Alligator mississippiensis: one gene and its partner. The protein of the gene in region 1 purifies or fractionates together with the protein of each later gene. This does not show direct contact. Links are inferred from orthologs where the notes say so. Each region holds a gene or a part of one and is shown on either strand. Other genes may lie near its edges. The genes, in order: NSF and NAPG.

Region 1 (16,817 bases):
TGCCTATTTGCTGTTGATCCCCCCTGATGAGCTTGTAGACAGCCACCAGGTCCCCCCTCAGCCTCCTCTTGCTGAGGCTGAACAGGTTCAGGTCCTTCAGTCTCTCCTCATAGGGCCTGTCCTGCTGCCCTCTCACCACGCGGGTGGCCCTTCTCTGAACCCTCTCCAGGTTGGCCACATCCCTTTTGAAGTGCGGCGCCCAGTACTGGACCTCAGTACTCCAACTGCGGCCTGACCAAAGTCGCATAGAGGGGGAGTATCACCTCTTTGGACCGGCTTGAGATGCACCTTTGGATGCATGACAAGGTATGGCTGGCCTTGCTGGCTGCGGTCTGGCATTGGTGGCTCATGTTCATCTTGGAGTCAATAATGACTCCAAGATCCCTTTCCGCCTCTGTGCTTTCAAGAGGGGAACTCCCCAGCCTGTATGTATGCTGTGGATTCCTTCTCCCAAGGTGCAGCACCCTGCATTTGTCTACATTGAACCCCATCCTATTCTCATCTGCCCACTTTTGTAGTCTGTCTAAATCTAGTTGCAACCTCTCCCTCCCTTCAAGTGTGTCCACCTCGCCCCACATCTTAGTGTCATCAGCAAATTTGGACAGGATGCTTTCCACCCCCTTGTCCAAGTCGCTGATGAAGATGTTAAACAGTGTGGGCCCTAGGACCGAGCCCTGGGGAACCTCACTGCTCACATCTTGCCAGTTTAAGTATGATCTGTCCACCACTACTCTCAGGGTGCGCCCCATCAGCTAATTTTTTACCCATCCAACTGTGTAGGCATCAATGCCACAGTCGCTTAATTTATTGATGAGGATGGGGTGAGAGATAGTGTCAAAGGCCTTCTTAAAGTCTAGAAAGACTACGTCCATGGCGACACCATCATCCAAGGATGTAGTTACTTGGTCATAAAAGGCAATCAGGTTGGTCAGGCAGGACCTACCTTTGATGAACCCATGCTAATCCCCTGAGCATGATCTCCCCTGCTGGTCCCCCATAGATGTGCTCCTTGATGATTCTATCCAAGATCTTCCCGAGCACCGAGGTGAGGCTTACAGGCCTATAGTTACTTGGGTCCTCCCTCCCTTTATTAAAAATTGGGACTACATTAGCCAGTTTCCAATCCCTACCTCTGATAAGGGACAATCCCCAAGATTGTCCCTTATCAACATCCCAGTGATGGGCCGGACTACTGAAGCCAACGCCGGACCCCATAGTTAAGGGGCCAACGTAGATCGTCGGGGCAACAAGCGGAATATCTGAGTGGACAGGGTGTAGGGGAGGCAGAGCCCTAAGGAACACCGCAGCACACTTGTGAGTACCCTGTCTTCGGGCCTATAGGGGAAGAGAACACCGCTGAACCTTCTCTTCATACACCAACAAGTCGTGGCAGGCAAGTGGGGGGACCCCGACCTAGGGGGCGGTGTTTTACTCACAGCACCTACTCGAGGCATTACAGTGACCGAACAGTGGAGAAAGGAGATGTTCACTGAGGCAGGATGCAGACCCTCTACTTATGCTCTCCTCCTTCTGGAGGAGATGGTGCTTTTAGGTGACTTCCAGAGGTGGAAGAGGCAAGCAAGCTATGACCGGTCTGCAGAGATAACAAGCATCCCTTTGAATGTGAGGTTCACATTCAACAGCTACTTGAGAGAGCGGTATGAGTATCTTGCTCCCCATGACTTGCAAGAGATCAAAACAGTCATGAATGAGACTCTAGCCTAGTGCATAGTTTGGGCTTCTCTCCCTCACCCTCGGGAGAGTCCTTGCTCCCCCAACATTGCAACATACTGGCTGAAGGCATGCTTTGAAACTCATAGCATAAAGGCGAGAACACTACAAGCATCCATGCCTACAATGCCCTCCCCCTCCAAGCCTATCCTCAATGCTGTCACCACTAGAAGACAGTGCACTGCTCCATAAAAAGCCTGTGGTGACACTGGACAGTTCTTTTAAACCTCCTTCTCCTGCAGGCGAGAACCAGGGATGCAGGGCAAAACAAATCATAGAATCACTGAGAAGTAGGGTAGAAGGGACTTACTTCCAGAGGTCACCTAGTCCAGCCCCCTGCCTAAGGCAGGATCATCTCCATCCAACCATCTCATACAAACCTATAATCTAATCTCTTTGTAAAACTACCATCAACCCTGATGCAACACAGGGCATATCATCTTAATCTGCCACAGGTAAAGCAGATCGACTATGGTGGCCAATGTCCTGGTGCTGCAAAGGTTGTTGATACATGTTCAAGAGATTGCAGGAAGAGGACCATGCCCCCCCCCCCCCCAACTGACCCTGACCCAACCCCTAAACGGAACAGAAGAGGGACATTTTTTCCAGCAACTTCCTCACCCCCCGCTAGCCCTTGACATCCCATGATGACCACCCTCTGGTGTTTGCTCATCTCTGTGGAACCTAAACAGGACTCAATGCACCATCACCGTCCCTTCAACAAGCAATCAATACTAGTGGACACCAGCGTGGCAGGGGGGTGAAGTAATCAGCCCGACTGTAAAAAAAAAAAAAAAAAGCTACCTTTGGGACTGTTCTGTTTCCTGTTAACCTGTGAGTGGCCCTGCAGGAATGAGGTGTCAGCAGATAACTTAAAGACCTGTTAAGTGCAGGGGAGCTCACAGGAACCCACTGTAGAATGGACACAGATCTATGAGTGAACAACGCACATTGTTCCCCCAATGCCAAGGTTTAATTGTCCCGTCCATCTGCATGCCCACCTCCAACAGCAGCCACTGGGGATGGAGGCATGGATGTGGGGACACCCTGGACAGGTGGGTAGTACTATGCCACTGCCCCACCTTTGTGCACCCTCAAGCAAAGCATGTCTCTGTCTGCCTTGCTCACAGGGTCTAAGCCTGTACTCATTACAGGGGCCAATGATAAGGTTGCATAAGTAAGACGGGTGGGGAGCAGGGCCTGTGCAACAGCATGAGGTTTAGTTTGAAAAAGTGGCCTCTGGTTTTGTGACCAACTTGCACCAGGGTGTTTTAGAAGTATTGAGCACTATAGACTGCAGCAGGCATGAAGCTGTGATGGCTATCTCAAGCTAGACACCCAAAGTCAGGTTGCTTTGGAAAATCTATTCCCCAGGCTTATGGAACATAGATGTGACAGCTTGCTGGGTCTAAAAATAAACAATCTGATTGTATTTAACACTTACTTTGTATTTGATTTTGTCTGGGATCTTACAGACCAACTGGAGCATCTTTACTATGGAAAAACATTCAAGTCTCAGCTTCCAGGAGGGGATGAAAATTAAGGCAACCATTAACTCCTGCTGGGCTAAGCTTCAACAACAATCTACCCTTCCTGCCCTTGAATGCTTCTGTTTCTTCTTGAGGTGTTTGATTTGCTCCTTGCACTGCATGGTAGTTGATTTGACACCTGTCTCTACTAGGCTTTTAAAATCAGCTCATCTGGATAACCGTGGGTGAAATTCTATTATTTGGAATATTTGGACCAGTGATTTTCCAGAATCACACCAGCCAGTTAGCAGCTTTCTGCATGCAAAGCACCTCGTCGTTTTCAGGGCTGGACCAAGCAATATAGAAACTGAAGCAAGCTGGATGGGAAATGAAGGGTTAAAATGCCAAACAAATACTTATGAATCCGCTGATAGCACATGATGCAAAATAGGGAAGCGGAAAGTGACATGATGGATCCAAGGGTTAGAAAAACCTGGGAATGACAGTGAAGGACTATTTGGACTCAAGCACAGCACAATAGCAAAATAACTTGCTAGGGAGCACAGCAGTTATACATTAGCTTGGTTCCATACCTCCAAAAGAGCCTGTCAGCTCAGGTTTTACTTGCTTATGGATGTATGCATAAGAGCTGGGAGGGTATATAATAAGTGCTTCAGCACCGTTGCCGGCTGCAAAATATAACTAGGCTCCACTGTATCTACATGCCATGAATCAAGTATAAAGCGGTGATCTCTCTAAGAAAAATGCTGCAGTCAGTGCAGATACCACTCTGCTTTTGAGTCACGTTTGATAGTTGCAGAGTTGCATTTAGATACAAAATATTGCAGGAATTATCTGATGATCCTTATTTCTGAGTCACTCTATGTTGTGAAATACAACACAGAAAGAAATTGTATGGTGTACAGCAATGGTATGGTGTGGTTATAACCAGAAAAGTGTCTGGACAAAAGATTGGTTCAGAGAAGTTCCTTCCCAACCCACTCAGGTCTACTGCATAAACCTTATGCAGGTCTTTTCTGCTCCTGTGGTCCTCTGTCTGCAACTAGAGAGGCTTTTGCTCAATTTTTCCACCTTCCAGCTGGTCTCACTCCACAGATCCTTCACCTAAAGCTAAAGGTCATCTTGCTATTTCATAGACTCTTCCCCAAACTCAGGCTGCCCTTTATAGCCCAGCAATTAGCATAAATGACTAGAGTAAACAGCTAGACATTAGGGTGGATGACAGGAATCAGTTAAATTCTATTTGTAAAAAAGCAGGAGAGTCCTAAACTACTTTAATGCAGTACTGCCATTTCACTTGCAAAATCTCCCCTTTAGGAATGCTTCATTCTCTATGCTACCACCAGTTTAGCAGTGTCATCTCATGTGTGCTAGAGCTAAGCAAACTGCAAAGCACAGTAATTTTTCACTTAAAATATGTTTCTCTTGGGTCCCTATCCTGCAAAATTTTATGCAACTGGCTGGGGCCCACTCATATATAAAAAATGAATTGCACAAGTAGCTATTTGTAGAATCCAGACTATATAAAGATACACAACACAAGCCCCTGATGAGCCAAGATTGTACTGCAGATCACCTCAAGCCAGCTTCTGACGGATACCCACATGCTCTCAGCAACTGACTTTTGAAGTTCTCATTACCACACCTGAGTTGAGCAGGCAATTGTGCCTTTGCCGTGGAGTGCCTCACTGGCCACGTGTGGAAATCCACCAGGGTCCATTCCTCCCTGCTTTTAAAAGGATTCTAAACTGATGTTTTTCCTCCAAAGCTGTTTTTAGAATAAAGCTGGGGTGCCAGAGCAGTTATTTTCCCTCCCCTGTCCTTGATATTTCCTTCTTACTCTTACTAGGTCTTCACCTGCTTTATCTTGTCAAAGTTACTAAATTTTAACTTATCATTATGCCAACTTCTCACAAGCAAGAGGGGGTAACTAGACAAAAATACCAGAGAAACTAAGAGGATTTATTAGCTCAAGGACAAGAAACAGCAGCAAGTAGCTGCAAAATGGTAACCATAGAGATGAAAAGACCAGTTTTAAAAGGCATACTGGGAAAAAATGTTCCCATTGACAGGTAACCTTGCACTAGGGAAAGTTAGTACCAAATAATATTATAAAGAAAGGACTCCTAGGACAGAGGTTCTCTCTGTGTGTCATATACCTTCATATTGGGGCATAGAAGTAAAGTTGTGCAGTTCTCTGAGCACTGGAGCAGAGGAAGAGATTTTTTTGTGTCATGACAGGGTGACAAAAGCTTCCTTTACCTCTACTCATTGTGTTGCCCTTGTGTTTGTCAGGCTGAAAAAAAAATTAGAAATTTAAAAAATCTGCAATAATTTAAGGGTTTTAAATTTGTATCAATATGCATTACAATTTTTGTTTGTTTGTAACAATATCACCTTGCTGAGTCACAATCAGCCTTATAAACTCCAGAAATCCTCTTCTGCAGTATTGTGCTCACCCATACGTTCCCCATTTTGTATTTGTGCATTTCACTGTTCCTTTCCCAAGTATTTTGAAGTTTGCCTTATTTAACATTACTTTTTTTTTTAATTTATCAAGATCCTTTTGAATCCTATTCCTGTCTTCTAAAGTGATGTCAACTGAAAATAAGGATACTGAAGAGAACTAGACTCAGGAAAGACCCTCTGGGAATCCCTCTTTATTACTACCTCTTTCTAGTTTGACATTGAGCTATTGATGGCTGCCAGTCCAATCAGTTATGTACCCACTTAATGGTAGCTTCATTAGATCATATTTTATTAGCTTATCTTTCAGAATATTGCATTCTTATGAGAAGGATTTGAATAGTATGCAATAAATAAGGCCAAAAGCCATACACACAGAACAGTGAAAATAAAACAAAAATTGGATGGCTGCTCCATCAGCAAGTATCATTCATCTTATGCACTGACAGATGTGGGATCCTTTTACAGAACAGCATGTGAACATGCCATTAAATAATGCACAGTCAGCTTTAATATTTGTATTTCTTAATTTCTGTATGCCTGGTTTTGCAACCTTAACATTTTTTATCTGACTTGCCTTGCAGCAAAACAAAAAATCTTCATCATGGCTGTGACACCAGCATGCTAATGAAAACACATATCCCTGCTCAAAAGGATTACAGTCTAAATGGTCATATACATCAGACAGACAGATGGACAGAAAAGTGGGCATGGGAGGGAGCAGGATAACAGAAACAATAGACTGTTTTATCATCTTCTAGTTTCTTGCACAATTTTTAGGTTGTATGATATGTAATGCAATTGTGTGGTGATGCATTCGTTCTGCACAATGGTGTCATAAATACCACACACATTAATGTTGTATTAGCATATAGCAAGGGTGTCAAACAGAGATGTGGGTTTTCCAGAACATTTTGAATTGGAAAATTTTCTGGAATGCCCTAAATAGAGCATGATCTGATTTAGCACGTCTATTTGACTTATATTTAGTAAACAAACCTAAAAAAGTTCCCCCATGTTAATTTTATGTCCCAATAGCCAGAAGTATTTGAACTGAAATATATGATTGGGAAAAAAATTAAGTACAGCACACTTAATGTGGTTTAAATGTTATATTTTAACAAATTCAAAGCTTTATGTGGAAATAAATAATTTTTATTGGAATACTTGTAAAAATGTAAGGACAATGCACAATAGTGTGTACTTCCCTTACACTGTTTGTTTAAACTTAAGAAAAAAAACAAAGGCACTGAAGACTGTCAACACTAATTTTAGCACACCCAAAGAACTGTGCATGATATGCCATGGTTGCCCACTCATCTACTTCAACAGCGTCTAACTCTCTTCCACTGAGGTCATTGCGGCACCTCCAGTTTCACTGTCACTATCTGGAGAATCACTTGTACTACTTATTAGTTTCATTTCAGAATCAGATTGAGACAAACCTGATTCAGAACTACTTGAACCACATTCTCGTTCACTAAAGGATGGTTTTACCAATGAGTCTATGGGCAAGGGCACCTTATCATCACACTGCATCTTCTTCATTAATTGCACTTCTGACTGATTCTCCAGAAGCAAGAGATTTTGAGAAATTGAAACAAACTTAGCCAGGACCGGCCCGCAATTTTTGGGGGCTCCCTGCAACAAATAGTTTTGGGGGGCCCTGACTTGAAGAAGCTGGTGGCGGCAGCAGTGGGGGAGGGTGGCAAGCAGCTGGACATGAAGCCAGCGGCAGTGGTGGCAGTGTCGGCAACAGGGCGGGGGAGGGGGGGGGGGGGCGGGGTGGATGGTATTGAGCAGCCAGATGCAGGGAGCCCCTTAGCTGTAGGACCCACTGTGGCCACAGGTTTTGCAGCATAGAACAGGCTGGCCATGAGATTAGTGGTGTGTTCATTTGGTTTTGATTTGACCTGCACAGCCAATTAGGTGAATTCATAACTTGATTTTTGGTTTGGATTATTCTGTGAGTGTATTTACCCTCTTGTTTATAAATCAGTAAAACATGTATGTACTCTCTCATACACTTCCTAGGGATAATCACCTGAAAAGCATTAATTACAACTTTGAAACTGCCAAGCTTGCCTAATATTGTATTGGCATCTATTTATTGTTACTACTGAATTTTGCAAAACAATGAATTTTTAGAAATGGAAAATCTCCCATGGAAAAAATAAAGCACTGGAAAATTTTCCACCCCATGTCTCTGGTGTCAAATATGCAGGCCCTGGGTCAGATCCAGCCTGCAGAGCCCTACCATGGAGCCTGCCCTATGGGCCCTGGACCAGCCCCAGGCACAGACTGCAAGACAGGGCATAGACCAGGGGTATCAAACTCATCTGGCTCCAAACCTCTCTGGGGCTGGTGGTAGGACGGGGCCGGTTCAGGGCATGCACTGGTTCTGGCATGGGGAGGAGGGGGGGTCTGTCCTGCAGACAAACCCTGTGCAGTCACCTACCCTGGAAATCTTCACAAGGAGACTGGGCAGTCACCTCGCTGGGCTCCAGTTGTCTTTTCCTGCCTAGTGCAGGGGGCTGGACCCGATGATCTACAAGGTCCCGTCCAGCCCCGAACCGCTATGAAGCCATGTGCCCCTTCTCGGGCCCGCGGAGCTGGATAGGGTGGACACCCCTTCCCCCATGGAGTCAGTGACGTTGCATGCGGCTGTCCCTGCAATCCCTGTGCCCCGAGAGCCGTCAGCGCAAAGACTCACAGCCGGCGCGCGCGGAAGCACTGCCCGGAGGCGAGCAGCGAAGGCGGCACCACGGCGCAACTCAGCCACGCCGGCAGCGCGTGACGTCCGGCCGCTGCAGGGCGATCTCTGGCCACGCCCCTCACGCTGCGTCGTGCGTAGCGGGGCGGGGAGCCGCGGCAGCTGCCTGTCAGTCGGCGCTGGGAGCCGGACGCACCGGGTCAAGATGGCGGGACGGGTGAGTGAGCTGGTGCGGCAGGGCAGGACCGCATTGCCCCTCTCCCGCGCTCCTGCCCGCCTCGCGGCGGCTTATCCTCCCCGGGGCAGCAGCGTGTCCTTCCCGCTCCGCCCCTGCCCCTGCCCCTGCCCGCGGGCGGGGTCCCTGGAGGCGACGCAGCCCTCGCCCGGGGCCGAACCGGCTGCACGCATGGCCCGCAGGCGCCCAGTGGGGCCCGCGGGGTTCAGGTGTTGCTGGCCGTGACACCCCCCCGGTGCCGCAGTCCCTGGGGCCACCGGGCCCGTGTCAGGTGCGTACCCCGCTGCCCAGAGGTTTTCGGAGCTTGGGGACCCAAAACAGTGTCCCTCCCCCTCCTTTTTTTTCTGTCAAAGAAACAAGTGAAAATTAAGAGCTGGTGTTTTCCAAACAGCCCCTCTCATCCACGGCTGAGTGAGAGCGGGCCCACGCTGCGTAAAAGGATGCCGTCCTTGTTTTTGCTTCTAGTGCTGGAACCACAATAAAAATGAGAGCAGCGACAACCCCTGGAACAGCTGGCTTCATCTGTTTGGGTCTCCCCCTCTTCCCGTTTCCTCCCGCACCCCTGAGAGATCACTGCACATGCGCTAGTCTTTGTTGTCAGGACATGACGGGTAGCGAAACAGGGCTGTCTCATATCGTGTAAACTCTTCCATGTTTTATTTTTACCACCCTGTATCAGATGTTGTCTGGATTTTCCTCTGATCCATCACCTGTCCCGTCACGTTTTTTTGGAATTTGCTAGAAATGGTGCTGTTTTTACAGCAGAAGGGGGAACTCACATGCAGCAGTCTGGCCTGATGGTGCGAAGGATGACGACGAAATGGTTGCATGGTGCAGTGTTTTTAACTGCGCGAGAACACGTCTGGTTGTGCTGCTGGCTTTTCTGGGTGAAGTTAGGTAGGGTGAATCTCCAGGTTTACGATTGCGAGTAAAGGAGAGTGCTTGTAGGATTTCTTTCTTTTTCTAGAAGCAGAGTGGCAAATGTTATTTAAAAAATAAAGGCTTAACTGCACCAACTTATCTTTTCCAGCACTGAGTGTTGCATGAGCAAGTCTTATTTTAAGGACTAGTGGAGCTAAAGCACCGAGTCTCATATGCTTAAAACCTAATAACCCTTCCATCCCCTTAAGAGCATGCTATTCTAGCATCAAAATGCAACTTGTCAAATGATGGGTGCCTTCAAATAATACTGTATGGCTAATATAGGTGTTCCATTGTGTTCACAACATAATCAAAACAGAGAATAAATGCTCGTGAAATCTAAGAAGCCTGACTGAGAGGAAAGTAGTCTATTTTTAAGGGAAAAAGTGATTTTAGTCACAAACATCTATTGCTTGTTTAATGTTCCTATAACTCCGTTGTGGCATTATCTTTGAACTTTTTAAAAGTTGAATGGTGTTGCCTACAGTTTCCAAACATTTTTCCTGATACGCAGTTGGTTTAAGTACATTGCAGCTCGCCAAACATGAAGTGTTTAGACTGAAAATAGTCTATGCCAAGAGGCTGTCTCAATCTGAACACCTTTTTTTGTTTGTTTTTTGGAAGTTTCAGCTAAGACCGGTTAGGCTATTTCATAGATTCATAGAAGTAGGGTCGGAAGGGACCTTGTAGATCATCAAGAGAATGCAGTTGGGGGGGAAAAAACAAACGTGTTTCTGTAGTGTCTCCATGCCTTACTGCAAGGATTTGAAATTTGGTAAGACGTGACTAGTATCAGGGGATGTGCCTTTTAGCTTCCCTCCATGTAAGCTTGTCTGAGAAGGCCTCTGAGTAAAACCCTCTGCACATGCTCAGCAGAAAATTCGCTGAAGACTCAGTAAATGCTAAGCATACTCAAGTCCAGGTTGTTGAAGCTGAGCTGGATTTGATCTGCTTCTTGTGGCTGCTGCACCAATAGCCAAAAGTACAAAGATGATTTTTCTGTGCTCTCTCTGCTGCTGTGTTGCAGCCTGCAGAATAGTACAGAGGTAACAAATGTTTTTGCTTGAGTTGGCTTGAATGCTGGAAGCAGGTTACCTGCAGCAGCGTTTGGATGAGCTAATTTACTCTGCTTTTTCAATTAGGTAAAGCTACCTTGGGTATGTTGTTTTGGTGCAGTCTTCAGCATACACATACTTGGGCCAGGGTTGACTTACTAAAATGAATGTTGTTGCTATTTAAAGATTTTATTATTAAAAATAAAGATGTTTAAAATGAAACTTGACTATAATACAAGATGGTAAAGCCTAAACAATGTACAACTGCCTAAAACATTAAAATAAATAATCCTCTAGCAGAAGCTTTGAGTTACAGGCTGCAAGCTTTTCTATATTAAAGAACTGGGGGAAGAGAACATCTGACTTCTGAGGGAGGTCAGGTATTATGAATATGGCACAACTACAATATTAAGAGAGTGATTCTGTAGGGTACTGGATGCAAAAGACTGACAAAGAGTCCAGGTCCCAATGCCTGAGGTAACTGAGTCCAGGAGATGCCAACATGGGTCTCAGCATGATTACATTTCAGTTACCACCCTAAGGTAGCTCTTTGACATGACTCAAAAGTTCATTCCGTAGTGAAAGTGTGGGGGTTCACCTTTTTGGGTGGCATGCCACTAATTAGCCCTAAACACTCTCTGAGTGCCATTGTGATCCCCTTCCTCTGTCTAATCTACTGCTCTGCTTTCTGCTCCCTTCTCTGTACCTGATCTCCTGCTCTGCTTTTTGCTTTCTGCCCTCCTCATCTGTCATATTTAGAGACTTCCCATGCTGCTGTGTGGCACTCATGCTGCAGGTTGGTCACCCTGATCTAGTGAGTAGGAATATATATTTCAGTATTTTCTAACATACCAAAATGTAACATTAATATTAATATTAAAATTAATTGATAATTATTTGAAAATATGATGCTGTAATGCTTTTTAAATTCATGTCTACAGCTAAGCAGATTCTCCTAGATTTAAGAAAGATGCATCAAATTTGGTGCAAAGGCTCTATTTAGTAGGAGCTAGATAGCAGCATAAGAGCAGGGGATAGTGAAACGGTGTGGATCATTCAGAAGCTAGAACATGGTTCCATGTAACAATTTCTGTATTTGCTGCTATCTTGAATAGCAGTGATGGGGGAAATGCCTCACTTCAGAATTTTAAAGCTCTTGGGTTTGCCTTCCTGAATGATTAAAAAATCAAAATAATGAAGTGTTAATATTAGGAAATGACTTTTAAAATACTGCTCTAGAAAGAAATTACTCGGATTTAGTTTAGAGCATTCTTCCTGTTACTGCAGTCATGGCTGGGCTGCTCAGATTGTTTGTGACCTTGACTCTGAGGAGGAGTAAAGAAGAGTTAATCCTCTGTCCCTCCTCCCCATGAAAGAAAGGTATTTTAATATCTTCATGCAGAGAGTAGTTCACCTTTGGTTTTGTACTGAAGGTCAGAGTTCTGAAATACAGAGGGGCCAAATACTGGAGGCTTTTTATTTCCACTTCTGCTTTACTCCATGGCTTTTGTAGTATATAGATGCTCTTATTACCTTGAAATCCACCTTTTAACTTTAAACATATAGGTATTAAAGATTATTTATATCATGCCCAAACCACCTTCAAATCTGTATATTGTCAGGGAGAGAGAACATTCTCAAGCTATTATAGGGTGATTGTGGGCTTTACAGAGACACTTGTGTAATGCTGGAATTGCTATCAGGTGATATGATAGTGATAATTCATTACAAACCTGTTACCTGAAATTCACCTGTGAGTTCCCTCCCAAAGCCTATTTTGGGGATATTGTACAGGAACCTGTGGACACCAATGACAAGGCTTTACCATTTTGAAATATGTTGTATCTGCAATCTAGAGTAGCCTAGTTCTGGTTTATTTTGTTCTGTCATTTGGGGCTCAAAAAATACTTGACAGAAAGTGAATTTTAACAGTTTAGACTAAAATGGTATAATGAAGAACAATGTCTGTGTAGTCTTTTCATTTCTAAAATTACTAGGTTTGCCTGAGTCGTCATCACCAATGATTTTTTCAGTTGGGTTCCTAGGAGATATTGCTTCCTTTTATACTGCTAGAGAGGGCCGTGTGATTTGAATGAAATGCCTTGCGGGCATTCAGAGAGTAAACAGGTAAATAGTAATAGAAATTGCCAAGCTTGGCAAATTCTGTATGGCAGAGATGATATCTCAGTGCTTTACAATACTGGGATGCTGTTGGCACATAATGTTATGCACCTTGTCTTCTATATCTGTCTCCAAGGAACAGAGAGACCCCTCTACACACACTCGCTGTGCTTGAAGTAACCTAGTAGAAACACTGAAATGGTTAGGATGTTTCACTGTTTGTTAGTCTTTGGTCTCGCCTCCTTCCCCATTCCCTTTTAACATATGGAATCAAAATCTTCAGATACAAGGTGTCATTAGACATCTATAAAAACATATTAACTTTTGGACTAATTTAGCTTTTCCTCTGCTGATGTGATATTCATCCATTTTCTTTTTTGAGGTCATTTATTTTTCTTGGTAGTAATCTTAGTATAATACGTTGAATTGGCTTAAAATAAGAGGGAGCTTTATACTTCAACATTAAAAGGTGGTGTCATCTTAACACTTGTATCTGAATTGGTCCAAGGCAGGGGTGGGCAATTATTTCGAGCAGAGGGCCACTTACTGAGTTTTGGCACGCCATCGAGAGCCGCATGACAGGCAGCCAGGGGCAGATAAATATTAATTTTCTACATTTTTAGGGGCCCTGTGGGCTGGATAAAATGGTCTGGTGGGCCACATCCGGCTCCTGGGATGCATTTTGCCCGCCCCTGGTCCAAGGGATTCCCATGTAAGATCTTCAGCCTTAAGAGATTCATAGATTCATAGATATTAGGGTTGGAAGGAACCTCAGGAGATCATTGAGTCTGACCCCCTGCATAGGCAGGAAAGTGTGCTGGGTTTAGATGACCCCAGCCAGATGCCTATCTAACCTCCTCTTGGAGACTCCCAGGGTAGGGGAGAGCACCACCTCCCTTGGGAGCCCATTCCAGATTTTGGCCACCCTTACCATGAAGAAGTTCTTCCTGATGTCCAGTCTAAATCTGCTTTCAGCTAGCTTATGGCCATTATTTCTTGTAACCCCCAGGGGCGCCTTAGTGAGTAGAGCCTCACCAATTCCCTTCTTCGACCCCATGATGAATTTATAGTCAGCCACAAGGTCACCTCTCAACCTTCTCTTGCAGAGGCTGAAGAGGTCCAGGTGCCCTGAATAAACTGTAGGCACGCCTCATGCAAGACTGTCCCAGGTACTCTGCTGACTCAACTTTTCTGTTCTCCCTCTCCCTCAACTTTTTAAAGTTGCATTTTAATACTCTAAATGTTAACAAACATATTGATGTTCCGTGGTTTTTACATTTTTCCATTATTTTTGACAGTGAATATAGGGTCTGATCCATTTCAATTCAATTTTACTTTCTGGGTTTCATGCTGAAGCTCATGGTTGTAAGTGCCACAGAAGGAACATTTAAATTCAAACTATAAGGTCTTTGTACTAGATTTTAAAAAATCATGACACATCCATTCATAGACTCTTATGAACCTGACTCTGTGCTAAATTGGCTGCCTCGTCACATGAGCTCTCACAAACCCTATGAGATCCGCTGGACCTTCCCCATTGACATACTGAACTGGTGGGCTGGGAGAAACATCACCTAGACCAGGGGTTCTCAACCTTTTTGTGCTGAGGACCAGCAAGCCGTGGACCAGCAAGCCATGGACCAGCAGTGACTGGCATACTGTGGGCCAGGTAGCCAACCCTTTTTCATACTCAGTATAAAAGTTGAGTCTGCAGTATGCTGGTCACTGCTAGTCTGCGGTTTGCTGGTCTGTGGTCACTTCTGGTCCAGCAGCTAACCCTTTGTGGCCCAGCACTGGGCCGTGGCCCAGCACTGGGCCATTGCCCAGGGGTTGGGAACCCCTGACCTAGACAAGAGAAATAGGGAAACTGATGGAAAAAGATGCAAATACCTTAGGTGAACAGACCTACTCACCCTGTGGACTGACCTATCCATTGTTTTCTGCTCTTCAGGAGCCAGCCATAGATGAGAGGGAGAGCAGCTGAAACACTGACAAACAAGCAGGCAGCAAGATATGTTTTGTTCTGGGCCATTTTCCTTTCACCTTTTGGCAAGAGACATGCAAGTCAAGTGTTACCTTGCTGTCGGGTTCTGAGAAACAAAATGGCTCTTTCATGTCAAGGATATCCCTGCCTTCAGCAGGAGCTTAACTAATATCTATAAAAAGCCTATTTGGGAATCATCTCATAGTGACCATTCATGGGTTACACTTACTGCTGTGCCAAACAAAATGTGGGTCTCCTTTCAGGGTCTCTCTTCAGTGACCATTTGATATCTTGGTGATAGACACTTTTGGCTCATGAAGATCTGGGAAGTAGGTGTTAGGTTGTCTTCTAGCTTGGGTGCGAGGCTATTCCAAGAAATTTTACAGCTCCTCTCTCTACTCCAATGAGAGCTCTCCCTTGGGACTAAATTGTGGACTAAACACCTTGTACTGAACATTCTTCTGATCGTTTTTCAGGAATGCACTGGAAGTCCGTCTTTAAAGTTTGTCAACCTGCTTACATTCTAGTTTGGCAAGGAGCTTTTTGTAGGTTAAGGCCTTATCAGGGGGCAGTAGTGCTGCACACTTGATGCCAAAGTTTGCTAAGTAGTAAAGCAGTCTTTATTCTAAAAATCAAACCTAGTTACAGGAAATATTTTTTCCATTTCTTTTCACCCATATGTAAAACATCTAAAAATTAATCTGGCATACTGCTGGTGTCAGGAGAGCTCCAAAATTAACACTGAATGCAGTACCCAATTCAGAAATTACTACTAGTCTGCAGTGCCAAAGTAACTGCTCCTGGCACAGCTTCAGTTATTAGGTGGATAAATCTTTGCACTTCAAATACTAAGGGAGAAGCCACTTGTCTTCTATGAGTTTTTGAGAGAATATTATTTAATCATGGAAACCTGGTAGTTGGAAGAGTCATAGGCAGTGGTGAACCAGATATAGGAGGGTACCTGATTGTGTTTTGTACCTTCATTAAGTTTTACCATTTAAATTTTTGCATTTTATCATTTCCTGCTGTTAGCAAGGAGGTTCTGCACTCTGTGCTTTTCAGTTACTGATACGACACATCTTCCTGCTTATTTTTTTCTGCTCTTGGTAACGGACTGCTATGGAACATCCCATTGCAATGGGAAATCTTTCCGTGCAAAAAAACAGGAAAACTTTTCTTTTTGGTAGCAGACAAGTACCCAAATGGATTGCAATGAGCCTTACTCCTGATTGAAGTCCTTTGGAGACAAGTACTGCATTTGTCAAACAGGTTGTTCTGGAACTGGCCACACCTTTAAAGCCTTTCCCATTTTGAGGCTATGCCTCTACCATTGATCTTCAGGTTTTGAAGAGATTTAAGATCTTCCTTCTCTCACAATCCTGTACCAGGATGAAAATGGCTGTTTCTGGATGTTTCTTGCTTTCTGGAGCACTTACCATTAGGGGTTCACCGACAGAGATTTTTGGCGCTGATACTGATAGCCTGTTTTTAAGGAGGCATATCGGCCGATACGGATACAATTTCTGATACAGCTGCATGCGGCTGGTAAGTCTCTTGTGGTAGAAGGGGAAGCGGGAAGGAAAGGGGTGTGGAGGGGCAGATCAAGGCCCCTGTGGTGAGGGAGGGAGTGGGACTGGGGTTGGGACAGGTGCTGCCCAGCTGGGGTGGGGCGGGTGTGGGATGGAGCCACAGCTTGTCCAAGGGGTGCAGGGATGGGGGGGGGGGTGGCTCCTGCTGTTGTGTGCACCCTGGAAGGGCGTGGGAGAAGGCAATTGCATACACTTTCAATTTTTGTTTGGCTTAGCTAAACAAGCCTTTCTCTACATATGGTCCAGTTCTTCTTTCTTGAATATGGGTGACCAGAATTCACAGATTCACAGAAGTTTAGGGCTGGAAGGGACCTCATGAGATCATCGGGTCCAGCCCCCCCTGCTGTGGGCAGGAAAGACTGCTGGGGTCAAATAACTCCAGCAAGGTGTGCATCCAGTCTCCTTTTGAAGATCTCCAGGGTAGGTGCCTGCACCCCCCCCTGCTGGGAGTCTAGTCTAGAGTCTGGTCACATGAACCGTGAAGAAGTTTTTCCTTATATCCAGTCTGAAAT
Region 2 (16,437 bases), on another chromosome or scaffold:
ACATTGGCAATAAGGCACATAATCATAAAAACGTTAACAAAAAGGTTCTTTTTAAAAAATATTACAGAATACCATATTTACTTGAGGTCTTTACTTAAGACATATGGTAGTGTCCATTAAGCACAGTTCCCCCTACTGCCGACTCTTCTTCAAGTCATGATGAGCCACAACACTGCATATCCAGAATCCCTCTGTCAGCCCTTCTTTCAGTGTGACATTTGATTAGCATGGCTCAGCCTTTCATGAGGTGAAGCTGGACCAGGTTGACCTGTGCCTCATCTACATATAAACCCACAGACTGACCTCACGCCATGTATCTGTCCCATGGGGCCAGAATGTTGAGCACCACTGACATAAACAAGCAATCCCAGTTACAGAAATTGATCCTAAAAGGTGCTGAAAAGCCACAAGTCTCTATAACTTTAATAGAAGTTCCAACTTTCCAAATATTTCCCAGGAAGTCCCTAAGTAAACCTGAACCTGAATCAGTGAAATCAAATGATGCTTTTCCATTTAGTTCCATGGAATCAAAATTCGGCATCTCTAAAACAAATCTCAACTTTAGATGTATACTGCAAACTTGGATACATGTTAAATTACCTGAGGAATTTACACTTACTTGGCTGCATGGAAGAGGCTGGATGAAACAGAAGCAAAGTTAAGGATATCAACAATAAAAATGACAGGTTTCTATATAGCACAATTAATTTATGAAAGTTGAAAGCAAAATAATCCCATTATCTGAATATTTGTTTCCCAGGTAACATTGAGAGGCGAAATTAATCTAATAAGGGCATGCATGCAAAATTGTTTTAAAAAAAATAAATTTAAGGGCAGATTATGAATTTAAGAGCCACTATAAAACCACAGGTGAAACTCAATTACATAAAACTGAAGGAAGTGTTGGTTATACTGTATTAAAATACTGTAATGATAGATTAATATTTTAGAATTACTTAATTTTTTATCACCCATTTCTAGGCAACACATTTCAAGAAAACAGACAAATAATAATTTACTGCAAAAATATAATACATTTTTGTTGGTTGATTCCTCCTATGTGAAAGGCACATTACAAACTCAAAGAGAAGGTCTCATCTAAGGCATGCATGCATGTAACATCAAGACCTGAAAGGAAACTAGAGCACTGGAATCTGTTTTAAAATGTGTGTCTGGCAGTAGTGCCATGCCATGCCTCCACTGTGGAAGGCACCGAACACGAACAGAACAAAAAGATAGTTCCTGCTCCAAAAGAGCTTCTTTTCTTCACTGGAAAGGTCAAAAAAAAAACCCAGCATACCTCTTGGGAGATGTTTCAAAGTTAATTCAGAAAGTCTGGCAATGTAAATTACTTAGTAGATAACTTAATCTTGTGCCTATACTCATTCATACATTTATAAATAAATAGCACATCCTCTTCTAACTCTCATCAGCCTAGTTTTAATTAACAATTCAGATTCTTCAGGCTCCTCAAACAGGAACAGCAAGTCAAAAGATACGCTTTATTATTTTCATGTGCTTCAGCTTCTCTCAAACAGGCTTCTTTTGCCTGGTCATACTGCTTGGCATTTTTAAAAGCAACAGCTGCAAGAAAGTTTAAAAAAGAAAATAAAAGTTATGCTGTTTGTTTTGTTTTTCTCATTTAGCTTCTTTTATCTACTGTGCCTAACACCTAGAGACAGGTTTTTATAAGGTACTTAAAACATGACTATATGCATCTTTAGATGCCTAGCTGGATATCCAAAAAGGCTTGAATTATTGTGGAAAACCCACTATACAGCTGTCCGCATCTTTAGAACTTAAATACTATTAGAAATCTGATCCATAATGAAAAACTATACTTAATTACACCGTCAAGGCAAAGACTTACAAGGCTCGTAAGTTGCTTGTTTTCAGTACTCTCTTATTTTATAAATGTAATCCAAGTCTTTTTAAAATCAATAGCTTTAAAAAATCTGAGATATAGTTTATTTTATTCATTAATCAGAACTGTTGCTGAAGTCTTACCTACAATATTAAAAGTGATGCCTGGTGACAATTCCCCCTCTACCTTCCAAGTAACATGCATTTAAAAACAAGACTCCTACTTACAAAATGCGCCTACAATAACTACGAGCCTTCATAATTAACGATGAAGTGCTACAATAAGACAGCTATAACCTATTTTTAATATGGATTTAAAAGTTAAGCAAATTCTGCTTTGCAAGTTGCAAACACACAACTTTACAAAAAGTTGCAGCTATTTCCATTAAAAGGATTTTTTTTAAATTGAGTCTCAAACATAAGTGAATACTAAGAAGTGATAAAGGCAGACAAGGTCCCTTGGGTGAATCTGGTATCTTTTATTAGACCAACCCAAATAGCTGAAGAATAGTTATTAATAATGTCCTTAGACCAACACGACTACAACCTACACCCCTTCAAGAAGTGATAAACTAAAAACAGATTTAAACTTGAAAAATCCAAAAGGTTCTCCTTAATCACAAAGACATTAAGAGCAGGAAGAAAAGGTATTTCTTTATACAGCAAGCAATCCTCAGAGTTTCTCACAGACTCTGTCTCTCACTCTAAATTCTCTCACATGAGGGTTGGAGAAATAAAAAAGAAAGAACGATCTCTGGTTCCCTTCAAATATTTCTATTATCTGCCTCTAGCCACTCTTGGAACTTTCCCTTTATATTTCAAAGCCCAATTATTTTTCATTTCTTGCACACATTAAGCCCCTATTAAAGATAAACGAGTTCACATGCAAACTGGCCATTAAATCAAGCCCCTGCTTAAAAACAAATGGAAGAGACTATCTGTTCCCCATGATAAGAGGTTCTGGATTTTATTTAGCTGTCAAAACCAAACATATTTTGAAAAAAAAAATCATGATTTACATTTACAGGTTTATAAAACTGTTACAATTACTAAAGGCAGGGATGTAAATATAGTTTTAAAAAATAAGTTTAACCTCCTCTACTTATACAGGTTTTATATATACTTATATACACACCCTGCCCCAGCCCTCTCCCCTCCCCTCCTGGCCACCCTGCTGCCTTCCGATACACACACGTTTCCCTCACTTAATGCTGTACATGCGTTCCTGGAAAACGACACGTAACTCAAATTTGTATAAAGGGAACCCACTTTACAATGCAACAAATACCTCGACTGTACTGACCCCCAGACCCATTTCTACCACTTTTACAAAAGTACTCACCAACAGCACACAGTACACGCAAGCACAGGGCACTATTATAATGGGGATGGCAAGTACAGAAACACATGCCGCAGACAACAAGCGAGAAGCGCAGATCCATACAGGAGACTATATTTTGGTGCACATCACTCCCACAATGCACCGCACAAAGCAGCTGTGGGCTTCCACCACAATGATCACATACAAGTGAATTTACCTCGCATGTAACCAATTTTTGGTATAAAAAGGGTCATCGCATAAGTGAATTCACACATACAGAATTTGCATAAAGCAAGGGAAACCTGTATAAACATACATATACATATTAGCCAATTGCCCGTCATGAATGACAAATTTAAAATAATGGAGTGTTTACATGGCCACACACACACACGCGCGTGCTCTCCCCTGGCCACTCTGCTGCCTTCTGATTTCTGCTGGGCCCTATGTAGCTTCCTTCCTTCCCCTTTCCTGCCAGATTACACCCACCCAGAGCTAAAAGATAACCCATTAGCTAATCAGTTATCACTGCACTTATTGGTTAAGCAATTAATCATATAAGCTTTCACATCCCTAACTAGAGGCAAAACTTTTTTATGGCATCTTTTATTGGACCAACTGAAGAACAGCACTTTGTTTAGCAAAGTTCATCTAGCATCTCTTCTAACTGTACTGCTGGCCCAATAAAAGATGTCACGAAAAAAGCCTTGCCTCATGTATTTCCTGGACCATCACAGCTACAACAACTTTTCAACCTTAGACTTAGTGACTATACCAAATCCTTAGGGTAGAAAATGCAACATGCATTTTTACAGTAAAATCTGAGGGATTTTCAGTTATATACACACACACAATCATTCTCTATAGAAAACATTAATTAGAGAAGTGAGATATCTAAACCATTATTTAGGATTCAACTACTAGAATATTTAAGCTAACAAATTATTTTTTTTATAATTTACAGTCATACATACCTGCCTTCCCATATTCAGTAGCTGCACTATCATAGTCTGGTTTCCACTTTAAGAATCCAGTTTTCAAGCTGAAATGCAAAAAAAAAATAAAAATCATCAACTATAAAATGTTCATGCTTTATATTTAGAGCCCAAATAATCTTTAAAGGAATCCTGAAAAGCACCTAAGAATCTCTACATTAGATAAAAATAGAGGCAAAAGAAATAAAATGATTCACCTTGTGACACATCGGTAAAAATTCAGATGTTCCTGACTCGTGGTTCTCAGAAAAGATCTTTTTATTTACACAGCTTCATATAGCAACATGCAGCAAACACTTATTACCAGTGGTTTTAAAAGTTACCAGATAACACAATTTAAAAAAATCCATGATGTAAAAATATTTCCATCCTCAATATTATTTTTTACTCTAGGCATTTTAGTACTAGAAATGCAAGACTTACAAAAACACAATTTTTGGTGTTATTTGGCCACTTCACACCAATTCATGTCCATATTATTTTTGGCTTTTTACTTGAACAAAATCATTCTGTTGCATGAAACTATAGGATCAAATACAAGACATTTATTTTACAGGAGTTTTTGAAAGTAGAAGCTCCCCCTTTCCTTAGACGAGCCTAAAACTATTCTTGTTGAGAGGACAGTTAGGCATAAATGCACTTTTGGTGGGTGACAATTTAAGATGCATCTCACCTGGTCCCAGATGTTTTATAATGTTTTAAACCAGTGACTCTCAATTTTAGACTCAAGGCACCACTCAGGAGACTCAAGACCCCACCTGGAAAAATACCAATTCCTAATTGTCATTTGATGACAGAAAAATAGTGGAGCGATTCTTCTGTCGCAAACAGCTTGGAAAGACTTCAACATGGCCGCATGTTTTTGACATGGTGGCTTCGTAATTGAAATCTCTGGGTTTATCTTGTGAATCACCTTTCTACACCTAATAGTGATAACACTGCATAGCACCCTTGAAAGTATCTCAAGGCAACCCAGAATGCCACAGCACCCTAAGAATCGCTGCTTTAAGGTAACCCATGCTCATAGTACTTTTGATGCCTTCGACTGCCTGCCGCAATAACTTAGAACAGCACCGCTGGCACAGCTATCCCATTCAGTGCATCTGTCCTCACTGCCTGAATGCAAGCAGCAGGGATCTGTCCTCACCTCCTGGGCACACCAGACTATCCAGTGTCAACATTAAGTGACTTGCTGTAAACACTGGGCTGTCTCAGGAAGCCGCCCATCAGTTTGGCTCCCCACAGGCTGACAGAGAACAAGACTTGACTGTCCCCGCTGCTCTCATCAGACCCCTTCTACCCAGGTGCTTTCCTCAGCTCTCCCACTCCTGTCCCCTCCAGGCCCCTAATCATGGGGGCAGATGGGGCTTAATGTGGGATCAGGCAGAAGGTCAAGCAGGGCTGGGGGCACCTCAGAGGCAGCCTGGCTCAATGGGGCAGGAACCTGCTTTGAGCCAGGGACACCGCCAAATGGTTCAATGAAGCATGGGTGAGCCTGGGGCCATGGCAGCGCCTCCCAGGTTTCTGGTATGGGGGTGCAGGTCGTCTGTCTTCCCAGGGAGCAGTAAAGGAGGCCTCCACCCCGAAAGCTCCATCCCCCCAGGCGTTGCACCCCCCAGCCAAACATCCATTCCTCTAAGGTGCTGCTCCTCCCCCCCAGGTACCATCCCCCTCAGGCACTGCCCCCCCAACCCTTCCCACCTCCTCTACAGTGAAGGCCCCCCCACTTAGATGCCCCCCCCCCCCCCCCCGGGAGGTTCCATCCCCCTGAGATGTCCCCCCAGGTTCCATCCCTCAGGCGCCCCCCGCTCAAGGTTCTATTCCCCTCAGTCTCCGCCCCGTCCCGGGGAAGGTTCCATCCCCTTGAGACCCCCCGGACCAAGATTCCATGGTTCCATCCCCAAGACACCCCCGCAAAAAGATTCCATCCCTTCAGGCACCGCCCCTCCCCGCGCGAGGTCCCATGCGTTGCATTTTGGGAGCGGCAATTCTCCTTCCCCCCCATCGCCAGGCGTCCTGGTGCCGGGGGGAGCGGCTGCGGATCCCCAGAGCGCCTCCCGGGCCCCGACGCCCCGCGCTACGAGGAAGGCAAAGCACCGGCACCGCTCACTATTTATCAGCCTTAGCAATGTGCTCCAGCGCCTCGTTAATTTTCTGCGCCGCCATTGCGTAGAGGCTGGGCAGGGGCCGCAGCAGCTGCGCCACCGACGTCAAGGAAGGGCGAGCTACGGTGCGCCGTGAGGCTCAGGCCGCGGAGCGGGCGGGGCCCGCCTTCCTGCCCCATAGGCCACTGCGCCTGCGCGCCGTGCGGGGGTGGGGCGGGGAGTGGGAGGGGAGGCGCGAGGTTTGGTGATCTGCGCCGGGAGAGCGGGGACTTGCTCTTGCTCGCACGGGCCCGGTGGCAGAGGCTTGCGCACTGTGCTGCCCACGTCCACCACCATCCGTGGCCGCGTCCTCGGGGGCTTTCTCCTGCTGGTGCTGTGTATGGCACCCCCGCTTCTGCCCACGCATGCCATCATCACCCCTACATTTGCCCCGCGGGCTACTCTAGCGCAATGTTTCTCAACCCGTGTGTCCGACCCAAAAGTGGTTTGGAGGAATATGTGAAAGGGTCATGAACAAACCTGAAAAATGGATTCTTCTTTAAAGGAGAAAAACAGGAAACCCGGGCTTTTCCCTCACAGGCTGGCAGAGCTCTGGCCTGCGAGGGGCTGCTTGGGGCCCCCCATTCCTTCCCCATGCACACGGGGCAGGGGGTCAGGAGTGAGGGGCATTGGGTTGTGACTGGCAATTGATGTTTATAAATGGGTCCTGGTCCAGAAAAGGTTGAGAACCACTGCTCTAGCGGGCCTCTGGAAGCCCCTTCCAGCTCTGCTTCCCTGCGTGACCTCAGATGGGTCTTAAGGCTGGTCACAGAAGGACTTGGGTGCAACCGGACTTGCCCAAAGCTTGAGAGCAAGACATAAAAGCTGTCAGCAAACCTAGAGCATGAAAGAACTGGGCTGATTTAGCCTGGAGAAGAAAAGACTGAGGTGGGGTTTGATGGCAGTCTTCAACTACCTGAGGAGATGGAGATGGGCTTTTCTCTCTGGCCATAGGGTAGGGGTTCCCAGCTTTTTTAGATTGTGGACTGGCAAGCCATGGATGAGAAGTAACCGCAGACCTGCAAACTCCAGTCCAGAAGTGACCGTCATCATGAACGCTATGTGTCCCCAGAGGCTTAGGGGGCATGGCGAGCTCCCGCAGGCAGTGGCGGCGCTATTGGCGGCAGGAGCGCGGCGGCGGCGGCAAGCGGGGAGCTCCCACAAACGGCCACAGTTCTGTCAGCAGTGGTGGGGAGGGGTGGCGAGCGCCGAGCAGCAGTTTGGCGACCAGCTGCAGGCACCAGTGGCAATGTCGATGGGAGTGAGGGGGGGGAGCGGTGACTGCCTGCAGGTGCTGCCAGCAGTGTCAGCAGTACCTTTTCACAGGGGGTTCGACGCCACGTTCGGGGTGCCCATGCACCCATGGGCACCCCATATACATCACCAGTGATCCGCATACTGCGGAGCAGCAGCCAACCATTTTTTATACTCAGGGTTGGCTGCTGCTCTGCAGTATGCCAGTCATTTCCAGACTCTCAATCCGGCAGCCAACCCTTCGCAGCCTGGTACTGGCCCACAGCCCAGGGGTTGGGAACCTCTGTGGTAGGGGACAGGACTAGGAGCAACTGCTTCAAGCAGCAGCACAGGAAATTTTCGTTGGAGACTAAGAGGAACTTCCCGACAAAGAGGGTGGCGGTGCATTGGGACAGGGCAGGTGAAGCTGCCTAGTGACACTGTGACCAATCCCTGGAAGTTTTCAGGAATAGGCTGGACAAACGCTTGGCTGGGATGGTTTAGTCAGGACTCACTCTACATGGAGCAAGAGGCTGGACAATCTGACCATGTGAGTTCCCCTCCAGCCCCATTTACGTATGATCCTATGGGACTTCCCACTCATTTTTTTTAAATTTCTATGAGACCTTTGCGTGTAAAACAAGACCAAAACACTCCCAAACTAATTGTTTGATAGTGAACAGCCACATTTCTCTTACAGACGCATGCACCCGTGTTGTATTTTTTTGTACCAAAGTTACCTCTGCAGTCAGCAGCAAAACAAGAAATATGCCGCCACATAACAGGAATTACTTAATACCCAGATTTATTATTGGGCTGAATATGTATTGACTCTTGTGACTGTAGCTATGATTTTACTCTTGTGATTTTACTCAGAGCTAAATCACATCACCTATCCTAGAGCACAAAAGAAGAATAGAAGGAGGTTTCTTTTTGCAAGAGCAGGGTCGATCCCCTTGAGTCCTGAAGACTGCACTAAAAGAAACATTCAGCTAATGGTCCATCTCACCACGAGTGCCACTGGCCGCCACCAACACTGTTGGCGGCACCTATGGGTGGTTGCCACCCCCCACGCTGCCGACAGTGCTGGCAGCATCTGCAGGAGCTTGGCTTACCACCACTGCGCTCCCATCGCTGCCTCTTCCCTCCCGCTGCCGCCAGCACAGCCATGCCCCCGGTCGCTGAGAGCACGTACTGTTCATGCATCTCACATTATGTACCTGTGAGTTATGACAAAGCATGAGCTGCTAACATGGGAGGATAAGACTGGACGAGATCTTTGAGCCATCAAAGCCAGTCCCCTGACAACCATTTATTCAAGGAATCCCCCAAAATCACCACTTCAGACCCTCTCACACAACTAAAAAGCACTTTTCACAGAAACATCAACCACACCCTAAAACGGGGGTCATCAACCTGCCACACGAGTGGCACAGGCAAGCTGTCTGTACATAGCACATGGCAGATCAGGAAGAACACAGCACAGCAGCAGATGGGACAGGAAGCAAAAGGCAGAGCAGGAGATCAGGGAAGGGGCACAGGGCAGGAAGCAAAATGCAGATCAGCAGATTGGGCACAAGAAGGGGGAAAAAGTGGCACTCAGGAAGAGTGTGGGGTGGATTTGTGGCCCCAACCTGCCTGACTTGTGCCCCCAACCTGCCAGAAAGGTTGGCCCCACTGCCTTAAAAACAGGGGGTTTTAAAGGCTGGGGGCCAGATTGTCCCATTTTGTGTAAGAGGCAGGCTGTGGGGATGGACCCAGATGCTGCTGCTGCTTTTCCCTGCCACCAGCATGGGGAAAGTGTCCACCAGAGAAAAGCAGAGACAGGCATTTTCTCTGCACAGGGAAAAGACCTGCTGACATCAATTTTACCTGTGCCCAAAGCCATCACTTTCCCCCATGCCTGCTGCCGTTGCTTTTCCCCATGCTGACATAGGGAAAGCAACTCTGGCTGAAGCCCCATGTCTGCAAGCCAGATCAAAAGACTCCACAGGCTGGATATGGCCTACAGGCCATAGGTTGCTGACTCCTGCCCTAGAACAATCCTTAAGTATAGGAGGAGACAAGGGCACTGCCAATGCTCTGCCATTGCAATTACAAGGGGGCAGTTGGTTAATATATGCTCAAAAGATCGTAGGAAAAGGACAAAGCAAAAACTGCACAGTCCATGCCAATGTGACCTAAGGAAATATTTCTTCCTGATCCCCAAATCTGGTGGAATATCAAGACCCTTTAGCCAGGGATTTCTTATTTTGCTGAGTTCCAGCCACAGCATGCCCCAGCCCCTCCTTTAGGAGGGCTGTCCTCCCAGTGTTTCAGAGAAAGAGTCCCCACAGCCCCCCTATCCATTAGTATCATTCATGAAGTGAAAAAAGGAAAATTATCTCTCCTGGACCCCAGCTGCTGACCAGCAAAAGCCCTGAGTCTGTATCCCAATCTGGAGACTGCAAACATGATTCTACATACTGGGTAGCTGGTGGGAGTATAAGGGGTACTTGGTGATACGAATCCTGTAGCAGATGATGTCCCAAGAATTCTCTTCACATCCTTGCTGACAAGTTTGGTTTTTAGACTTCCTATCCTCATTACTTGGCCTTTCAACTAATGCTAGTGTTTGGTGAGAAAGTGAATTAAGAGCAACCAGAGAAATAATAGAACTGCTGTTTTATAGGTATAGAATAACCTAAGTGAACACTTCTGAAGCACCCAAAGCATTTTTTTTAATTTATATTTTCCTGCCCTACTCTGTTCTTTGGTTATAAAAAGCTATTCAATTCCAAATGAAATTACATATGTGCACTGTCTGGTTACACTTTACTGGAATGACCAGGATAAGGATTTCCAAGAACAGCATTGTATGAAATAGGATATTCCTGGGTAACTTTTAGTTCATAGACCCAAAAGCTCTTTGGTAGATTTTACATCTGGGAAGAAACAGATCACAGCATCTGATGCAGTGCTGTGAATGATCATTTGTTTAAAAGTATACAGGTATTGTATGAAGAAACTTGCATACTTACTGTAACAGAATTGCAAATGAGAAGATTTTGTAAATATAGTCTTATACATTCTGTTTAAATTAATATAGAAGCAGATGGCTCTACGTATTTAACTGTAGGAAGCTATTATGCAGGAACTTGCTGACTCTCTCTTTTCCCCAGATGGGCATGTCACAAGTTGGTTCAGTCCCACTTACCAAATGTGACTGTTCCCATTGGAAGCAGCTGCTAAATTCTACATAGTCCTTTATCCAACTGGATCTGGGTAGTGACAGTCACCGTTGCTAGTTCTGGGTCTCCTAGATGAGAGATTGCACCTACAGGTGTAGATCTTGTGTCTCACATCATTCTTGGGCAGTAGGACCATTCAGAATAGCCACCAAACCATTGAAGCCAGTGCCTTAACCTGCCAGAGCTTCCCCTCCGGGTGCTGAGACACATTTTCACCAGTCTGCTTGGCTTTGGGAGCTCTGATTTTCCTATCTTCATGGATAGGAAAATCATGTGACAGTAAAACAGAAACACGGCAAAGGAACATCTCAAACATACCCACTTTACTTTAAAAATAAACACTACGCAAAACAACATATTCCTTGACATAATCACTCTAGTCTCATTTCTCTTTGTGATTTCTCAGGTTTGGTCAGTGTCTTCTCCCTCCACTTGCTCCAGGTGGGTCTTCTATTTCTGACAATGTAGTCCCTTGGTTCGCCTACAGCAATGGTTCTCAAACTGGGGGAGACATACCTCCAGGGGTAGTTACCTAAGTTTTAATAATGGCAGCAGAGCTTCTGATTGGTCAACATGCAGTGAGTAATGGTGGTGCCTCATTTGATGTTGGTGTTGACACCTCTTCCTAAAAAATGAATATGCAGAAATGTATCAGGCCTACGGGGTATAAGGAGCAATATTTTGCAGGTAAAGGGGTACATGGCCAAAAAAATTTGAAAAACACTGGTCCAGAGCACATACCATTTTTTAAAAGATCTCTGACATATTTTCTGTCCCAGTATTTCCACTAGGAAATTTCCAAGTACCATTCTTTCTTAACCCTTCTTTCCCACCCTTGGGTTCTAGAGCAAAGTGGCCTTGAGTCTGTCAATGACCTTGCTGATGGGAAACTCCTGGTTCCACTAAGGTATTCAGCTATTCAAAGTGAATGGCCCTAATTGCTCTATCACATCGTCCCAGATACAATTTTTCCATAAATTCTCAGGTTCCTGCCAAAACAATTCTCAAAGCCACACTACACATTACATGGAAAATGAAGTATGAACTATACCCAAAATGGAATTTAGAAGTTGACACAGACCTTGCCTTCAAACTGTCACCATACGCTCAAAATGAGTAGTGCCTGAAATGGCTTCTGGAACAGATGCAGGAAAAATCAACACAATTTTTGCCAGTTTAGGAAGCCCGATTGTCTGTTTCCACTATTCTACAAGGTTGCCAAACTGCACAATGAATGGTTCTTCCAGATGCCATTGCCTGCTCGGTATCCATAAAAGGGGGATTGAGGAAACAGAAGCCTGAAGTTTCCTCTCCAAAAGCCCAATCCATTAAAATCAGGGAGTTTCCACACTTTCAATTGTGTACCTCATCAGCTGCACAGTCTTGTATTGCTCATGCAAGATTTTCAGAGGAATGATAACAGATTCCCTATTTTTAGCTTAAATTTTGCCAGCACTGGTCCATCTGACATTCTGCAACATAATTTAGTCAGACAGCCCCCAGCAGCTACTCTGTCACTGAGCTGTATGCTTCTGAATCAAGAAGCCCTGGACAGAAGCCTCCATAGAATCCTCTTCTGACTCTACGTTTTAGGGGGGAAAAAAGATAATATTTTATATTTCAGCCTATATGTGTGTCTTTTTCAGCACATTCCACAGTTAAGTGCATTCTCAAAGCATGCATATTTGTCACAACAATGAAAACAGCTTGGTTTGTGCTTATTTCACTTGTCAACTGCTCAAATGACTCAGCTGTACCAATTAGTCTCTGCAGCATTCCCTTGAGATAGACCCTTTAATCCCTTAGCATAATTCACTTTCAGAGCTAATTTATTTTTAAGCATACATTTTAACATAACATAATTTCCATCCTATGACATCATACATTAATTAGGTAACTGAAACAGGCTTTTTTCTTTGTGTAATGTGCAGTTTAGAAACTACAGTGGAGTAAAAAATGCTTACAATTACCAGTGACTTAGTAAAAGTAACCATTATGCTTTCTCTTAACTGTTGTTTACATAAAACAGCATAACTACACATACAGTATATGTGTACATCAGACCAAATTAAAATGCAATCAGAAACAGCGATGCAACTGTCTCATACTTCCATAGTTTTTAGGAAAAATATCCCACCTTGACACCGAATTTTCATGTGACCTTTTGGAAAAGTAGTCCCACTACATATCCTGTTGTGGCCTTCCAGCGCAAAACAATGATTCTTGAATTCAACTGAGTAACTAAATTCGGCAGCTATGCTCAGGGCTGGACACAGGCATGGGTGAACTGGGCAGCCACCTGGGTGCCGGACAGAAAGGGGCCCTGAAAATGGTAATTTTTATTATTATTTTTATCATTATCTCTGGTGAAGGGGGGCCCTGATACTAAAAGTTTGCCAGGGGCCACCAAAAGTATAGGTAGGGTGCTGGCTAGGCACAGTAAGACTTGGTCTTCTTGCTCTGAGTCCAAACATCAGAAGCAAAGGAAGCAGATCCTGCAGCCTTTTATCAGTATTAAAACTTGCTAATGTACACTTGCATGTGTACTGCTGAAACAAAAAATATAGAAGAGGATTTGATTATATTATTCCAGTAGTTTGAGCTAATACATTTTACATCATCTACAATAGTGTATGTCTGTATAGCAAGTATTACTGAAGTGAATGAAGGTTTTCTAGACTCCTGAAACATCTGGAGTCTCCACTGGGCAGGACACTTCTCTGGACTATACTGATTAAATCCAGCTATTTAAATGTTTCATCTTTTATCAAAACTGCAAAAAAACCCTTGTCCCTCTGTATGAAAGAAGGACAGCTGTAAAAGTGTTTACATGTTAACTAGACTTGGATCTGAGCCATAATATTTGGATTCACTTGGGCATATCAACTTTCCTACAGCTTGGTGAGGAGCAGGGATTGGCATTCATACTTGGCGTTCCAATGTATGGGCCCATCTTTCTCATTCCAGTGTCAAACTCTATTTAAGGGGCTTTCATCAAGGACAATTTGAAAAATGTGGACAAACAAGGCTGCATTGGGTGTTCTGGGTCACTTTCCTACAACCATGGGAGAGACTGTCAACAGAAAAATTCCAATGGACAATCTTGCTGCCCTGGGCAAGGGCTTAGGAGATATAGGTTCAAGTCCCAACTTTGACAAAGAATTTCCATGTGACCTTGATAAAGACCTTCATCAAAGTTACTTCTCTGTGCCTTATCTCCCTTTCACCAAAACTGTGATCATAACACTTCCTTAATCCTGTCCAAACTGTACGCTCTTCTGAAGTGAAACTATCTTTTCTGTTGTGTTTGTAGAGTCACTGGTACAATGGGGCCCAGTCTCAGCAGGGGCCTAAAGACACTATTGAAATAAGTAATGCTAAATAGTGGTTGCTCAGACTAAGGTTGTTTATCTCCCTCCACTGAGAGAGCACTGAGGGCAGCAGAAGGTGACACATGGCTTTTAGGCCTAAACTACTCCTAATGGAGAGTAGTGCTTCTGCCCTGTCACCCAGGGTGGCACAGGATGCTGCTGCTGCCACCTAAAAGTTTTGTAGAGAAAGAGTGGAACAAATGGGCATCAGATCAAACAGCTAACAAATGGGGCTAGCCATTTTTTTTACAGAAGCCACAGACACATAACTAATTTCCAGGCTTGATAGAGACTTCCAAGATGCAGAAATATTTTAAAGGAAAAATTAAGTGCCATCCCTCAGGGATGCCTGCTTGCTCCCAGAAAAGTACTGAGCCTACACCAGTTGCCATTAGGACTATTCCATATGTGTGGACTCCAAGAGCTTACAGTTTGGGTTGTTTGAAATGAAAACTCTTTTTAGTGTACTTCTTAGGGATCCATTTTTGATAACAGACACCTGCTGTTAGCCAAGGCACAAGGATGTATTAACAATATGCAGGAATTTGAAAGCTTGGGCCCTTGGGAATTTATCTGCTCTGACTACCATAAACATAAGCACTTCATTGGGGTGATGACCAACAAATAAAGCAGTATAGCCTACTTGAATTATACAGAATAAATAAATAGTGACAATCTAGAAATACCTTTTGAGCTAGAGATAAGGCTTTAACAAACACACGGCAGGGTTGGTTTTGTTTTTGTTTTTTTGCTGCAGTACCTTCTTAGCCACATTTTTTGCCTTTGGCACAGCTAAAATTTTATATTTTACATGTGTCACATAAAATTGACTATTTATAATGACAGATTTTTAAATAATCCTCCTTTCCTTTCTGTCTGGCTTATCCTGATGAAATAACAAGCTGGGTATTATAGTTTGAACACGAGTGATTACCAGTGTGCATGAAGAAGAAAACCCGCTGGTGGTTTTTTCAGTAATGGAAATGTTAAATACTGTGTGAGAGTAATCTGGCAGGCCCAATCAGATGCTTTTGTGCCAATCCCAGATAAGCAGTCAAACTGTTTGGAAATATCCACATTGCAGCATTTAAGTTAAGCCGGCAAAAAAATATTACAGCCATCATAAACAAGGCACTGTGTTGAACCTACTGTTATGTCATTTAACCTCATTTTCTTATCTGGAAACCCTAGCAAAACACTAAACCAGATTAATTAAAGTTCCCCTTTAAAACATCATATTCTCCATGTTCAAAATCAAAAGGAATATTGTTTAGCTGGTGTTAGGCCCCAATAGGCTGGTGTTAAGTCAATAAATCTCATTGACTTAATCTTGTGTAGTACAGGAATGCACTGACTCCTAATTCCCTTAAATTTGTTCTTTTTAGCTGAAAAATATCAATACCTTTTCCTTCTGAACACCACTCCACAATAGACAAGTACCCCTGTGCTATAGTGTCTAATTTCTCTCCATGCCCAGAGGAGCATCCCTGCCATTAATTACTGATGGGAGAAACAAGTTGTTATGCAGAAGAGGAAGGATAATACAAGATGGTGTTTGCCAACCATTCTTTTTTGGTGGGATCTTATAGACTGATGGATGTTTCCCATACCTATCAGCCTCACACCATGGCTAAGCGTACTAACTCTCTGCTTTTCATCCCTTTCAAGTCATTTTTTCTCCCCCTCCTCTCTCCCCACCCTTCCTATTTTTGTTTTTGTTCTCATGCTTGAGCTGTGGTCCCTTCTCTACCTTCCCTCATTCTAGTTCATGTTGCTTAGAGTGAAGGGGTGGGATTTCCCCGATTGTATCACTGGGCTGAACTACATTTGTCCTTACGAAGGGGTTGAGAGCCACAGGAAGAGAACAAAAAACTTATATTCATAATGTGAACATTTGACCCTTCCCCTTCCCTGGCTGGAGCAAGAATAGGAAGGAAAGAATTTTAAGAATCACCAATTGATCTATCAGCAGCTCCAGGAAAGTAATTACAGTTGGGGGAAGGAAATAAGCAGTGTCTGAGTTCATGCCACTTTCCTCACTTCCACTACCTTCTCCTGTGCTTGATACTCCCCAGGATTAACCTGGCACCCCCTGCCCCAGGGACCCCAGCCCTGGGCTGGAAAATGCTTCCTTAACATACACCTATGTATGCACTTCTCGCAGCTGTATGCCTTGACTTGAGTTTAGGACCTCAAGGAAGAATGGCTTTTAGGTTCCACTATTGAAAATATCTGTTTTGCAGAAAAACAGCTTTTCTTTGTATTCCAACTGCAGATAAT

What was found.
Region 2: the proteins of NSF (region 1) and NAPG purify together in Homo sapiens (affinity purification with mass spectrometry; 3 studies listed by BioGRID and IntAct, with this or other methods). This does not show direct contact. The link is inferred for Alligator mississippiensis from reciprocal best matches to the Homo sapiens genes NSF and NAPG.

The regions. Positions count from the first base shown.
Region 1 is NC_081827.1:170,322,681-170,339,497, forward strand, and holds the start of NSF (vesicle-fusing ATPase), read left to right. Parts: upstream 1-8,526; 5' UTR 8,527-8,605; coding exon 8,606-8,617; intron 8,618-13,881; exon of another isoform or gene 13,882-13,901; intron 13,902-16,237; exon of another isoform or gene 16,238-16,252; coding exon of another isoform or gene 16,253-16,261; intron 16,262-16,817.
Region 2 is NC_081826.1:95,958,784-95,975,220, reverse strand, and holds the start of NAPG (gamma-soluble NSF attachment protein), read right to left. Parts: upstream 6,419-16,437; 5' UTR 6,346-6,418; coding exon 6,290-6,345; intron 4,227-6,289; coding exon 4,159-4,226; intron 1,585-4,158; coding exon 1,500-1,584; intron 638-1,499; coding exon 620-637; intron 1-619. UniProt on the Homo sapiens protein: Required for vesicular transport between the endoplasmic reticulum and the Golgi apparatus.